Linked DNA regions of Notamacropus eugenii. Each later gene encodes a partner of the first gene's protein in a complex. Links are inferred from orthologs where the notes say so. Each region holds a gene or a part of one and is shown in the gene's direction. Other genes may lie near its edges.

The links.
Region 2: LAMTOR5 (region 1) and LAMTOR2 share a complex: the UniProt entries of both Homo sapiens proteins name them as parts of the ragulator complex. The link is inferred for Notamacropus eugenii from reciprocal best matches to the Homo sapiens genes LAMTOR5 and LAMTOR2.

The regions. Positions count from the first base shown.
Region 1 is NC_092873.1:288,911,817-288,919,199, reverse strand, and holds the start of LAMTOR5 (ragulator complex protein LAMTOR5), read left to right. Parts: upstream 1-4,349; 5' UTR 4,350-4,642; coding exon 4,643-4,827; intron 4,828-4,959; coding exon 4,960-5,021; intron 5,022-7,383. UniProt on the Homo sapiens protein: As part of the Ragulator complex it is involved in amino acid sensing and activation of mTORC1, a signaling complex promoting cell growth in response to growth factors, energy levels, and amino acids.
Region 2 is NC_092873.1:380,136,636-380,144,435, forward strand, and holds the start of LAMTOR2 (ragulator complex protein LAMTOR2), read left to right. Parts: upstream 1-4,611; 5' UTR 4,612-5,079; intron 5,080-5,972; 5' UTR 5,973-6,144; coding exon 6,145-6,212; intron 6,213-6,779; coding exon 6,780-6,942; intron 6,943-7,800. Other genes in the region: UBQLN4 (ubiquilin-4), read right to left, coding at 3,144-3,295, 4,270-4,443. UniProt on the Homo sapiens protein: As part of the Ragulator complex it is involved in amino acid sensing and activation of mTORC1, a signaling complex promoting cell growth in response to growth factors, energy levels, and amino acids.

The DNA.
Region 1 (7,383 bases):
ACAAAGAAACATGCTAAGACTGGCATGAAATGACAGCGAGTGAAGATGTAAATGAAAACAACACAAGAGAAAGGTAACTAATTAAGTGTAACGACTAGTCTTCATTCTGGAGAAGAGTGGGGATGGGGTGTGGAATCTATGGACCAGTTTTACTCATTTTTCTTTGTTACAAGGGAAAGACATGGGGAAATTTTTATAAAGTAAAAAATAAAAGATGTTAAAACTTAAAAGAAAGGAAGGGGGAAAAAAGAAAGGTAAAATGAAAGAAGTCTTGGCTTTTCCTCCATTTCTTAACTTCATAACAAGACAACTTCTGGAAACTTCTCTTGTTCTTGGCCCTGCATTTATATTGATTTAGTACAGGATCTTTTTAGCCTTCAAAGGAATGGGTCAGGGAAGAAATGTGAGAGGCTAAGGATGGTTAAAGGACTAGAAGGCTTCTGAAGGTTCCTTAGCTTCTGACCCAACCATTCAACTGAAACTGTCCCCTTCAAAGCTTTCAACAAGCTTTTGTTGCTAAATCTAATGGCCGAATGGAGTGGGTAGGGCCACTTAAGATAATACTACACTACATAAAAAGAGGGAAGCTAAGTGAAAATACTGGACCTACTGTCAGAAAGACCAGAGCTAAAAATCTGACCTTGGATATTTGGGCAAGTCACTTAACCTATGTTTGTCTTACTCCACCAGAAAAGGAAATGGCAAACTCCAGTGTCTTTGCCAAGAAAAACCCATGGGCAAGATGGAGTTATGAAGAGTTGAACATGACTGAACATACATGTGATGGAGTGCTCAGACCCCAGCCCTAAGATCATGTCTCTGAAAACTTCCCAATTTCTCAGTGGACCCCTGTCCTCTGAGAAAATTTTCTCTTGTTGTAGAATACATTCTCTTATCAGAACAGACAGAGGGGTGCCTGGCCCAGGGATTTTTGTCCCTGGCTAGTCCAAGGACTCCCCTCACCACATCAGATCCCCACGGTCCATGCCTCTAAGAATTCCCTCAATGTCTGGTATGAACACAGCTATCTCTGCAAAGCTCCCTACATTTTCCCATCCATAGCTCCCAAAGACACCTTTGCATTACCTAATTAGAATCCTCAGTATCCTTTCCCTTGTCCCTTTTCCATATAAGTCCCAGCACCATCCTAACTGTATTATAGGTTCCTTTAAGGATCTTTGCCTGCTTTTGCTAAAGCTTTACTTTTTGCACTTGACTAAGAGAAGGCTTGAGTGTATGAATTCATTCTGCCTTGGCATTCTCAGGGTCCTAGCACTCCCAAACCTCATCACATGTGCTAGACAATGGAGATATAAAACTTTAAGACAGCTAGGTAGCATAGTGGATAGAATGCCAGGCTTGAAGTCAGGAAGACTCATCTTCCTGAGTTCAAATCCAGCCTCCTACACTTCCTAGCTGTGTGACCCTGAGCAAGTCCTTTCACTATGTTTGCCTTGCTTTCCTCATCTGTCAAACGAGCTGGAGAAGGAAATGACAAACCACCCCAGTATCTTTGCCAAGAAAACCCCAAATGGGGTCAGGAAGAGTCAGACGTGACTGAAATGACTAAACAACAACCACCACCATCCCTGTAGTAATCCAAATTTGCAGTGTCTCAGTCATCCTCAATTCCTCCCTTGCCTTTCTCCTTACTCATTTGTTGAATCAGTCGCAGAGTCTGCTTGAACAACATCTGTCATAAGCTGTTCCATCTCTGCTCATTGTCTCTTGAGGCTATTGCAGTAGCTTCCTAACTACTCCTCCAGTCAATTCATCCTTGACTTAGTTGCCAAAGGGATATTCACTCCTACAGCACTGGCCTCACCAAGAGACTCCTCTACAAATGAAGTTCTAATGGGCTCCCAAATGCTTCTAGGATGAAATACCTGTTGGGGTTTTGAATTTAAAACATTTAAAGCCTGTTAGAATCTAGCCCCAGCTGACCTTTCCAGGCTGTTGACCTGAAAACTTGGTTAAAGAAAAGGCAGCAGGCTAATGCATACATTTTATGATTTAATTAATTAATCAATTCCCTATTAAAGACAACGGTAACATAATGCATTATGGAGCCAGAAATGTTCTGGCTACCCAGTGCAGAAATCTTCTGGCTTATATACATTTTGCCATGAGAAAGGAACTCTCCTAGTTGAACAAATCATAAATTCAGTAAGACAGGACAATTAACAAAGTAATGTTGGTCAGGCCTTGGGATTCCAGCTGGGTAAACATATGTCTTGGTGATAAAGAAGGAAATCCCACCACTAGTAAGTGGCAGGCTTCCTGCCCTAAACAGATAACTGACATAAGAAAGGGTAAACAAAGTTCAATAGAAATTACGACCTAAGATGTCTGTGTTTTCTTTACCATTAACATGCCATAACATAGTGTAGGTCTACAAATATTAAGATATGGAAAACGTCCCATTATTCAAGATAGTGTCTTAGGTTAAAGGTCTCCTTAAGGAATGTAGAGTCAGCCTTGGCTGGCTTTTGCTGACATAGGAAGAGGCACCCTCTGAGTTTGCTTCAGAGAGAACAAAGAGATTATTCTAAAATTTTATATTAAACATTATCAAGGCTCACTAAATATTATTACCCTTCCACATACTCTGTGCTCTGTATAACTCAGTGGTTCTCTCAAAGTGTGGTTCAGGAACCCCTCAAATCCCTGAGACCATTTTGGGACACCTCCTTTCAGGAAGACAACAAAATAGAAACTATTTTGTAATAATACTAAGATGTTTTCATTTTTAAAATGACAAATATTGATAGATGTTTGAAGGGAAGGGTGACGGAAGGGAATCCAAGGGAAAATCCAAGGTGACGTGAAAAAAATAATTAGCAAAAATCTATTTTAATAAAATAGTTGGTAGCTTTGGAGAGGATAATTTCATTTGAATGACAGAGCCTGAAGCTAGCTTACAAGTGATTTAAAAACTGAGTGAAGAAGCTTACTAACCAGTATAGACAGCTTTTTATAGGAGTTTCTATGGAAAAATGAAATTAAAGGTTTGTTTTGATTTGTTTTTTTAAGGGTAGGGAAGACCTGGGCATGTTTGTAAATGGTGGAGTAGAAGCCAGTGGAAGAAAACTTCAAGACAAGAGAAGGATGGAAGAAAGGATTAGAAATTGAATAGAGAACAGGGGTGGAGCATCGGTTTTAGCCATGGGGCATTTCTGAAATGGTGTAACACTTGTCTTGTCCCATCAGTCCATCAATTAACATTTATTAAGGGGCTGTTCTATGACAGGCACTGTGCTGAGTGGGGGTACAAAGAAAGGCAAAAAGAAATCAGTCCCTGCTCTCAAGGAGTTCACAGTCTAATGGGGGAGAAAGCATGCCAACAATAAATTAGGGGTCATCTCAGACACCAAGATCAAGGGGGACGGTGGGAGGGTTTCCAGCACAAGGAGGGACTTTGGCTGATTCTGGAAGGCAGGAGGGGTGGAGATGAGGAGAGCGAGACTTGGAGGCATGGGAGGCGGAGAGTGGAAACCCTCTCCCCGGGGAGATGCAGGGTTGTGCGGGAGGGGGAGCAAAGCAGGGTCAGACCAGAGGTGGGCGGGGCTCGCTCCAGGTGTGGGATACCTGGACAGGTGGCCAGGAGCCAGGTTGGGAAGGGCTTTGGAAGCCAGACAGGGGCTGTTTCTGTGTGATCGTGGAGGACAACAGGGAGCCACAGGAGGGTGCTGAAGAAAAGGCTGTTTTGAGAAAAACGCTTTGTAAATCTTAAAGCCCCGCAGAAATGGGTATTTTCGCACTCACGTCAAGTAAACCGGGAGGGCTGGACTGGTTTAGTTCCGAGGGTCTTAGCCTGAGGTCCGAGAACTGGGTTTTTTAAACGTGTGTATGTATATGACCACAGAAGTGATATGAATGTATATGATGATCGAAGGTATGTGTACAGACCGTTTACTTGTAATTGTTACATATGTGTATTTTAATGTTTTCTATATTAGGCGTATTTATAGATGTCATAGTGTTACATCTCTATAAATTACATTTTTATATTTTTAAAATAGAAATTACATATATGTATGTTTATGTATACACGGATCACTTTCAGGGTTATTTCCTTTGTAGTCTTGTGTATTTTATTTCACACACTTTAAAACATGATTCTAAGGGGTCCGTGGGTTTTGCCATTAGTTCGAGGGCCCAAAGAGCGAAAAAGCCCTCTTCCTGACATTTTGGAGAGAAGGAAACTGAGGCAGGGAGGGAAGGGAAGTGACTGCCCCCGGGTCACGCGGTCGGCGGCAGGGCCCACTCTGCACACGTCCCCTCCCATCCAGGCCGAGGCTAATTCTGCGTGAGGCGCCGCCCAGGGTGTAGGGCGGAGCTCGCCACCGTGGGGGAGGGGAGGGAGGGAAGTCCGGGAGCAATAGGCGGGGCCCCTCGCCCCTCCTCCTCCCCCCACCCTTCTCGGCGCTGACTCGAGGGTAACCATGACAACCGGAGGCCTTGACGCCCAGAGGACGCTCCTCCGCCGCCAGAGGTCTTGGAGGTGGCTTCCCCTCCCTGCCAGTGAGGGCCCCGTGGATACAGTACCCTACTGGGCGGCGTCTGCGCAGACTCCAGACTCCTGACACAGAGAGGAAGAGGTGGGGAGAGGGGAAATGTTTTTAATTCCTAACGCGAGTTGATGATTTTTGTCCCGTCGGAAGCCCCGTCCCGCGGCTGTTGCGCCGTACCTGCTGAAGCCGCGTGGTTGCATCACGTGGCCAGAGGAGGGCGGTCACATGACGCGACGTCCCGTGAGCGGCCTGGACTCAACTTACTGTCAAAACCCGAGATGGAAGCGACCCTGGAGCAGCACCTCGAGGACACGTGGGTAGTGTGGGCACGGGCGGGCCGGGCACTTCGGTGGCCTAGTCGAGGCCCGGTCCCGGAGGGAAGACGTGGGAGGTGTGGGGGGCCGCCCGGTTCGCTCCTGTAACCTCGGCGTCTGGTCTGTGTTAGGATGAAGAACCCGTCCATCGTCGGCGTCCTGTGCACGGACTCGCAGGGACTGAACCTGGGCTGTAAGTAGCGCCTTGGCAGGGAGCTTGTGCCCGGACCGGGGGCGGGGGCAGGCACGGGCCTCCGGTGTGCCGGACGCGCCGGGGATGCGGAAGGAGGTCGGGGTGGCTCCCGCCCCCGAGGATGCCGCGTTCTAACGGGGGAGGACCACCGGCAGGGGGTTGTGGATAAGAAAGAAGGTAATCCTTCGAGCAAGGCCCCACCCCCGGGGGCACGAGCAGGGGAAGCCTCCGCGGAAGATGGGACTCCCCCACTTAGGATACGGGGTGCCCCGGGGGAGAAGAGCCGAGGCCGCGTCCCCAGACCTTGGGGGCCCTGTTGGCACAGGTGTTCTCTAAGAAGGGCATCGACAGGTGGTGTACGTGCTGATGGGCCAGGTGCCCGGTTGGCCCATAGGTTGATGTCGTTGCATTTTAGCAGGGGAGGGAGGGCTACGTCTCCCTAGTACTTAAAAAAGTGTGTGGTTTCACTGTGTAGCTACTCATTTCACTGTAGAAAACGTTGGTCTTTCTTTAACCTGGGGTGGAGGATTTTTGTGAATTGTCCCTGGTTTGTTACATAATCTCAGGTGGGTCCTCGAGGCAGTCTTCTAACTCTTGCCCATCTCCACCTGTCCCGTCTGTCCTTCCTTGCTTGGGTGTCTTTGGAAGACACAGCCCTCCCTAAAAAGGCCCCCAAGCTCGGCTTCAAAGAGCCTGTTTCATCAGTTATTTCCGAATTCTGGTCTTAGGGTATGTAACTAGGGATTATTTGGGAGATTACTTAGGACGGGGAGGACTTCGTTGCCTCACCCCACTCCACCCCCTATCATTTTACGTTTATTCGCCCATGCCCTCCCCCATGCTGCCATTCTTTTTCAGTGCCTGACTTCTTGGGAAAATTGTCTGTATTCCAGACCTCTGTTTCTTTACCAGACACTCATTTCTGGACTACAGGTAATTGGGCTTCCTCCAAGGTTACCAAGGATCTCTTTACCTGCTGAATCCAGTGACTTTTCCTCAGTCCTCCTGCACCTTGATTTCTCTGAAGCTTTGACACTATTGACCATCCTTTCTTGAATATATTCTCCTTATTTGGATTCCGTGGCATTTCTCTCTACTGTTCTTCTTGTCTGCCTTCATCCTATGAAATGTCTCTCTTGCTGAAATGCCGTCCATCCCCTACCTCCTTTACTGTGGCTGACCCTCTACAGCTGTTCTGATTCCTCTTCATGGTACATGTTCTCCTTGGTATCATCTGTTCCTACAGGTTCAGTGTATCTCTACACTAAGGACTTGTTTCCAACTCACACCTTTTCCTAAATTCCATTTCTACATTATGGAAGCCTGATGTTTGACAGTGTGTGGCAAACTTAACTTGTTCAAAACAGAATTGTTTTCATCTTGAAACCTTTTCCCCTAAAATTGCTCATCCTTGGTTTTTCCTTCTCCCTCCCCCCCCCCACTTGCCAACTCCTGTTTGTTCTCCCATCCCTTGTCATCACTCAGAATGGCTACCACCCTAGTTCAGATCTTTATTGCTTCTTGCCTGCACTTTTGTATTGTAATAGCCTCCCAGTCTCTCCATTCTCCTTTCAGCTGCTAAAAGTACTTTCCTAATTCAGATCTGAGCATGACACTTTTCCTCAAAAATCTTGTGTCTCCTCATTGTCTAGAGCATAAAGTACAAACTCCTTAGCCTTGAGCCTCCCATAATAACAACTGACACTACTTTATGGACATTTTATTTGGACCTCAGAACAGTCTTGTGAAGCAAGCCCCGCAGGTTTTATTATACTCCATTTTACAGCTGAGTAATCTGAAATTCAGAGAAGTTCAGTAGTTTACCTGTGTTCAATTAATGTATCTATCCCCTTCAGTGTCTATCCCCTGAATCATTCTGTGTCTCAGCCTGGCTTATCTTTGTTGCCTTGTTTCTTTATATTCTGCTTCATATGCTCTGTATTCCAGCCATGTTGGCAAATTATCTATTTTCAGATCTTGGCATGCCATTTCCCATCTCTAATTTTGCACAGGCAACCCCCCCTCCCCACTTCCCACCACCACCTTTGTAAAGAGACTCCTTTCTCATTGTTACCTCTTAAGAGTTACTTGATGGCTGCTTCTAAGGTTCTACTGTAGTACCAACTCTCATAGGAAACCTTTCCTCTCATCTCCCCTACCATGTTAGTGTAACCTCCTTTTTCATTTATCATGTGTTGAAGTTGTGTACCTTTCATAAAATAAGCTCCTTGAGGACAGGGACTATGTTTTTGTTTTTTTCCAGTATTCCTAGCATAGGGCTTTGCACATAATAAGCGCTTAACAAATGTTTATTTAATTGATATGCTGTAGCTAAAAAAAACCGGACGGCCAAACATTGTTT
Region 2 (7,800 bases), about 91 Mb from region 1:
GAGACAGAAAAAGATGAAGGGGAAAAGGTGCTCCCTCCCCATTAGAAATGTTTCTTGACCAGAATCACATAGCCCCTTGTGGGCAGACTGTCTTGCTTTTGTGTTTCTGTCCCTAGTCCTTAGCACATAGTAGGGCTAAGAAAAGGCAACAGAGCTGTGATTTCACTGATACTCTCAAGGTGAAGAATCTCCCTCTACCAAGTTAGAAAACAATTATTTATATAACCTACTATGTGCAGGTTATTATGCTAAGTGCTTCACAAATATCACATCACTTGATCCTCACAATAACCCTGAGTGGTAGGTGCTCTTACTATCCCCCTTTTACAGATGAGGGAACTAAGGCAGACAGAGAAGTTAAGTGACTTACCCAAGGTAACACAACCAGCAAGTGTCCACCAATATAAGCTGACAACTCCTCTGTAACTTAAGAGTCTTAGAGAACTACCTAGAGCAGTGAGAGGAGACTTGCCCAGGGTCACACAGTCAATACATGTCTAAGGTAAGACTTGAGCCCAGGTCTTCCTGGCCTTCAGGCCAGCTTTCCATCCACTACACTACATGGTGAGTTCTCATTCCTCCCTCACAACCTCCTGGGGGAAATAGTACATATAGCATTCCCACTGTACAGATGAAACTCAGAGAGGTCAATGATGTCGTTGCCCACAGCCACAGTTAGTAAAGAGGAGTTACAATGATGGAACTCAGAGCTTTCAGCTCAAAGGTTGCTGCTCTTTGCCCATTCAGATCACTGTCCCTAGACTGCTATGGAAGATGATGCTGACTTTCCCAACAGCTTGTGGTTCTCCATGCTAGAATTTAGCTTTAAAAAATATGTTCTTTTTAACACCCTACTGATTCCTCTCAAGTCTCAGGGTCTCAGCCAAAAAACGGCCAAAAGAGGCCACAGAACTAGAAACGAGAAGTCTACCAAGAGATAGAGAGAACTCATATATATAGTCAGCTAGGGGGAAGATAAGATTCCTGGACCTGGAGCCAAAGACCTGGGCTCAGAACCTGCCTCCGACTTTTACCAGCTGTGGGGCCTTGGGAAGTCATTCAACCTCTCTCAATCTGTTTCTTCATCTATAAAACGGGGATAACAGCATTGACCACCCAAGGTATGTGTACATACGTATTGAAATAATATACATATATGTGCACTATAGGAATATATATACATATCCACATATATGCCTGCGTATACACATACATATATGTGTGCATATGTACATACATGTGCATGTTTATACATGTACATATATACATATAGAGACACACACACAAGAATTAGAGAAATTTCTCAATATATAAAATGGTTAAAAGCCATGGACAGGCAGTTTTCAAATGAAAACTGCAAACTATTGACAACCGCATGAAAGTATGTTTCAAATCACTAATAATAAGAGAAATGAAAATGAAAAGAACTCAGGTTTTACCCTACACCCAGCACACAGGTAAAGATGACTACATGGTAAAGGGTAAATGTTAGCTGATATGAGGGAAGATGAGCACATTCATACTGTTGGTAGAGCTATGAACCGATCTAAGTGTTCTAGAAAACAATTTGGAACCGGGCTGAACTACACGCCCACACACTCACCCCCAGTAATACCAGTATTGGGCCTCCTTATTTCGCACCTGAGTACTACTCTGGGACATCTGTGACTTCTCCACCAGGGTCAAAGAAGCTCATTATTGGGAAAATCTCACCATCCTGAAAGGTCTTTTCAGCCCTAGGACTTCACTTCTTTACTACCCTCTGCCCTTCTGATTGAAAGGTGGTGCCATGAACTTTCAAAACTCTATTTAAGCAGGGAGCTGGGCTCAGAACATCTCATTTCTCACCTGATCTCACTCCTCTGGAACTTTTCTGACTTCTCCACCATGCCCCCAAGTCAGGTACTACCCCTCCCCCCTTTACCTGCCTTTTGTATATAATCTTCCCACATTAGATTGGAAGCTCCTAGAGGGCAGGGACTTTCCCTTTTAACACAGGGCCAGGCATATAGTAGGTGCTTAGTAAACGTTTATTGACTTAGCGACTGATTTATTGACATATCCTAAGGATGTCAAGGACAAAGGGAAAGGGTCCACATACACAAAAATATTTATAACAATACTTTCTGAGATAGCAAGAAACTGGAAATAAAGAAGCTAGGAGTCCATCTTTCATTTTACAGACAAGGAAACTAAGGCCTGGTGAGGTTAAGAGATTTGTCCAAGGTCAAAGAGGTTGCAAGTGTTGGGCAGGGTTTGAGCCAATGTTCTGACTCTAAACCCAAGGCTCTTTTCAATTGTACCATGAATGCCATGGAATCTTATTGTGCCATAAGAAATGACAAATAAGAAGAGTTCAGGGAAACTTGGAAAGACTTGAATGAACTGATGCAGAGTAAAATGAGCAGAACTAGAAATTGATTATGATCATTTACTGAAAGATCATACTAAAGTAAAGGAAAACAATGAAAGCCATCAGAACATTAGGCTGCTAGGGACTACAGTGGGCAAGAGCACTCCCAGTGCTGAAGATCAAATGAGGTAAAATGGCTTATAAAACTTAAAGTGCTGTATAAATGCTAGCCATTGTTACTTGATCCAGGCAGTGACCAATCTCAACGTCAGAAAACTGAAAATGGCCAAAACCACTTTCCTCTGCTTGACAGAACAATGAAGGACTACAAATGCAGAATGAGGTACCTGGCTGAAACAGTCAATATGATGGTTTGTTTTGCTTTACTACAGTTTTTCTTTCCTACAAGAGAAGAGTACTATTTTGTAGAATAGAGGAAGACAGAATGACTGAAAAGTCACATGGCATTCAAAGAAAAGTCATCAATAAAATTTTTTCCAAAAGAATTATTTCTTTAAGAAAATGGAAAACTAATAAAGGACTGAACTTCTCAGCAAGGATTTTTAAAAGGGTAAGACACTAGCCTCCATTTTTTCTAGGGAAGTAACATTATACTAGGAGGATGTTAAGTTAAATTTTATACACTTAAAAAGCCCAAACTCGCAATCAAGACTATAGCATCTCCTTCTCAGACCTCTAAACGATTTCCATTGGGTTAGGATGAGTAAGAAAGCAGTAGCCTTTCAAGGACCATTCAAAGGGCAGCTCCTATTGGTTATCCCAAACTTACTTCTGCGGGGTCTTGATCACCAAATGGACAGTGAGCCCATCCTTGATCCCATGTTGATTTAACGTGTCTCCATCTTTGAGAATCTTGCCAGCGAAGATCAGGACAAGCTGGTCTTGCTGGGCTTTAAACCTCCGGGAGATCTCCTCTTTGAACTGTGATATCAGGTCAAAGGTCCAGGGTCAGTGTGGCCTGCCTCACAGAAAGACTGTCCAACAGCTCAGACTCTTCTTCAGAATCCTTGCTCCAATTTCCAGTCATCAGAAATCTTTCCTCCAATCTAGCACCTCTGTGTCCTGCTGCATACTCTACTGAGATGAAGACCACAGGGGCTCTAGTCCTCCCTTGATCACAGGATTTGGAGCTGAGAGGGACCTTACAGACCACTTAGGCCAACCCCAAGAGATGAGCTAACTGAGGGGGTGGACCGGCTTATCCAAAGTAAACTGAGGAGTTTAAATTCTAACCAAGTCAGTTTCTCTGACTCTTTTGTCCATAACACAGTATCACCCTCTCCCAAAAAAAAATCAACTCCTTGCTACTATCTAACCTTTCTTTCCTCACTTGGATCTCCCCCTTCAGTTTTCTCTTACTCTCCACCTTTAAACTTGGGGGTGCCGTTATCTTTAAACTCATTCTAGGCTAAGGCAGTAAAGGAGGGGATCAGGACCAAGGCAGCCTACAACCAGCACTCTGTGGGGGCAAGCAGGGTCTTAAAGGAAAAGGGCATTTCCCTGAATGGGGCATTTGGGGCATGGGGGGCTTTCTCCTCTCATCCCTTAGGGCCAGCTTCTGGCCCTTCCGAGCTCCAGGACTGGGACTGGGGGTACGCCGCCTCCTCACTTTCTAGCCTGCCCGGACCCTCGTGGGTCAGACAGCCCCCTGACCCCACTCCTGCAACCTCTCTTCGCCCCCCACCTCCCGTCTGCTTCCAGGGATGGACGAGCCTCCCCTTTCCCTCCCCTCCCCACCATGTGCCAGAGGCCCCCTCCTTCCTCTCCCCTCCCCCCGGCCGTCCCTCCCCGCCCCCTCCGTCCCTCCCTGCACGCCCGCGCCCGGCCCGGCCCGGCCCCCAGCGCGCCGCTCCTCCCGCCTCCGCGGCCCGCCGAACGGCCAGCGGCGTCCATACCTCCTTCACCGAGGCGCGATCGCAGATCACGATCTCCTCCTTGTCCTTGGGGGTCTTGACGGTGACCCGGATCGGGGGCCCTGGCCCCGGCTCGGCACCGGTTCCGGACGCGGCCCCTGTCCCGGTCCCGGTCCCGGCCCCGGCCCCGGCTCCGGCCCCGTTCGGCTCCGCCATGCCGCCGCCGCCGTCCGCCCGCCCGCCAGCCCGGCCCCGGCTCCTCCTCCCCGCCCGGCCCGGCCCGGCCACGGCGTCCCCAGCCCTCCCCCCCCACCCCAGCCTTCTCCTGCCCGCCCTCCGTCCCTCCCCCCCCCCTGCCGCCGCCGCCGCCTCCGCCGCCGCCGCAGCCGCGCCCGCCCCGCCCCGCGAGTCTCCGCTTCTCTTCCTTCTCTAGCTCTCGGCGGTTACAGCGCCCCCAGCGGACTGGGGGAGTCACGGCAGCACCGGGGACAATGTGTCTAGGAGGGAGAAAGTTCACTGGACGGGACGGTCATTGACTTTAAAGGGTCCTGATGGTCACTGGATTGGAAAGGTCTCTTGTCTCACAGGACAAAAAGGAATCAAGAAGACCTGGGTTCGAATTCAGCCTCAGATGTTTACTGTGTAAATGGGTGGATGAAAAAAATTATTAAGCATTTAATCTATGCACAACCCTGTATCTGGCACCCAGTAGGTGCTGAATATTTATTGACTGACGTACTGTTATGTCCTGGGGAAGAAGAGAAGTAAGACAGTCCCTGATCTACAGGAGACCGGGTTCTAATGGGGAGACAACACACAAGAAAGGTTTCAGCCCTGAGAAATAAGAAAATGGTCAGTGCCACAGCTACTCCTCTTCTGTTTCTTGACCTTATAAACTTCTCTCCTTCTGATGACATTTAGCTTTCCTCTGAGGGTCATTTCTCCTCCCCTAGTTAGGAGTCTTCCTTCCCCTTCAGAATCAAATAGCCTCGATCTTTTGTAATCCTGTGTAAAGTGTCTCCCAGTCACTAGAACCTAGAAGATTTTGTGCTTGATAGGAATAAGGCTGTGATTTCTTTGGTGCAGGGAACTCCTGGGTGGGGACATTCCTTTTACCAGTGCAGGCCAGCACCTTCTCTGCAATTTATCCCCTTAGTTGTCTGCAGAAAGGAGGTTAAATGACTTGCTCAGATTTACCCAGTCATTGTGTGGCAGGGGCAGAACTTGAACCTGGGTATTTTTAGCTTAATAAATGTTTGCTGGTTGATTGGAATCTAACATCTGATGCTTTATGCTAAATTCCCTCTTCTTCTAACCTCCTCTCTTAAATAAAAACAAAAGTAGTATGCTGGAGTGAAAAGAGCACTAGACAGGGAAACAACAGCTCAAGTAGGAGCTAGCTGTGTGACCTTGGGCAAGTCACGACTTTTTATCCCCATTTATATAAAATGGAGATTAATAATACTTAACCTTCCTACCCCACATGATTATTAAGGGCAATTTAGGTTTAGCACAGTGCCTGCTACATGCTTAATAAATGCTTGTTGATTTATATGAAAGTACCTTGCAAAGCGCAAAGATTTGCGCACACACACAAAAATTAAATAAATGACTCATTACGTGCGGACCACACTACTCCAGGCTCCCGGGACGGCTTAAATGTCCTCGGTGAGTCTTTACTCCTCGCATGTTGGACTACGGCCCCCAAGATGCCTCTCGGGCTGAGAAAGAACTACAATTTCCAGGGTGCCCTACCACGGAGGCCTGCAATGATCATTACCGGTGGAGACTACAATTCCCAGTGAGCCCCGGGGGAACCGGCCGGGGCTACGGGAAGCGTCCGACCTAGTGCGAGCCAGGGGAAGACCCTAGGGATCCAGGACGTAGACCGGGTTGCGGGGACTCGGAGCGGTCGTCATGCTTCGCCCCAAGGCCCTGACCCAGGTGCTAAGTCAAGCCAACACCGGAGGCGTCCAGAGCACACTGTAAGTGTTGGGGGTAGGGGGTGCCCTGGGGAGAAGGGGCAGGATGCAGTGCATCCTAGCTGGGATTGGAACAAGCCTGTAGTCCGGCCCGGGAGTGGGAGCTCTGCATACCCCAGGAAGGGAGGAAGAGACCCCAGGAACACGGAGGTGTAGGAAAAGGGGCACGCTATCAATCAATCCATCGGTCCGTCAGCCAGCATTTGTTAAGGCGTCCCTACTGGATGGCAGCCCCCGTGCAGGGGTTTGGGGGGTTCATGGACAAAAATGAAACAAGCTTTGCTTTCCTGGAATTTGAGCTATTAGGGAAATGAAACCTGGATGAGGAATGGGTGGCGGGACTGAGGGAAGAAGAAAGATTTGGGCAGGGGGGAAGGGAAGGAAGGGGGAAGAAGAGGGCAGTGGTTTTCAGAAAGTGTGTGTGTGTCGCGGGGGGAGGCTGATAGCTTTTAGCTTGGGGCCCCAACCCCTGGGGAAAGCGAAATCTAGGAGAGGGAACTCAGGCTTCTCACCCCGGAACACATTCATAGGACTCCAGCCAGTCATTTTAACTATATCCCCCCTCCCCAGGTTGCTGAATAATGAGGGCTCCCTGCTGGCCTACTCTGGTTATGGGGACACCGATGCTAGGGTCACTGCTGCCATCGCCAGTAACATCTGGGCTGCCTACGACCGGAATGGGAACCAAGCCTTTAACGAAGACAATCTCAAATTCATCCTTATGGACTGCATGGTATGAAGGGGAGTGGAGCTCCTGGAGTGGAGGGATTTAAACTAGATTCCCTTAGTGGATGACTCTTTGGGGTCAATGATTTAGGGCTGGAAGGGAACACAGAGAGCCTATTATCCAATCCCCTTCTGTTTTATGGATGAAAAAACTGAGAGCTAAGTGATATGCCCAGGTCACAAACATAGCAAAAGTGCAGATTAGACTATGTTAATAATGGAATGAGTGCTGGATTTAGATTTAGAGAACCTGGGTTTAAGTACTGTCTATATTATTTAAATGTCTGTTATTCTCAGGCAAGTCACAACCTCTCAGGGCCTCGGTTTCCTTATCTGTAAAATGGGAAGTTTGGACTCATTGACCTTCAAGGCAGCTTGCACTTTGAAATTCAATTCAATTTGACAATCACTAAGCCTCAGACCCTGTGTTAAGAACTAGGGGTAACAAGGACAAAACAATCCCTATTCTCCAAGAGTTTGCAATCTTCTGGATCTTTGGTCCTCCGACTTCAAATTCAGTGTTGTTTCCATTGTACTCTGATTACTTTAATCAGTGGATAGACTTGGAGCAGATGCTGGATGATTGGAGGGAGGAGGAGACAGAAACTCCCAAGTGCATCATGGGGGTGGGACCCCAACAACAATTTTAGGGTACAGTCTCAAGTAGACCTGAAAGCAAGGATCTGAACCTGGTACTTTAATTTTTTACCTCATACAAAGAAACCATTTCATGTGCCTGAGTCTTTGCCCTGACAGCTTATAGTTTCTCTGAGAATTACATTAAACTGAGAACAATACATGAGGCTATATGATAGTATGTAAGCCTAAAAAAGATCATAGAATCCCAAATTTAGAGCTGGAAGAC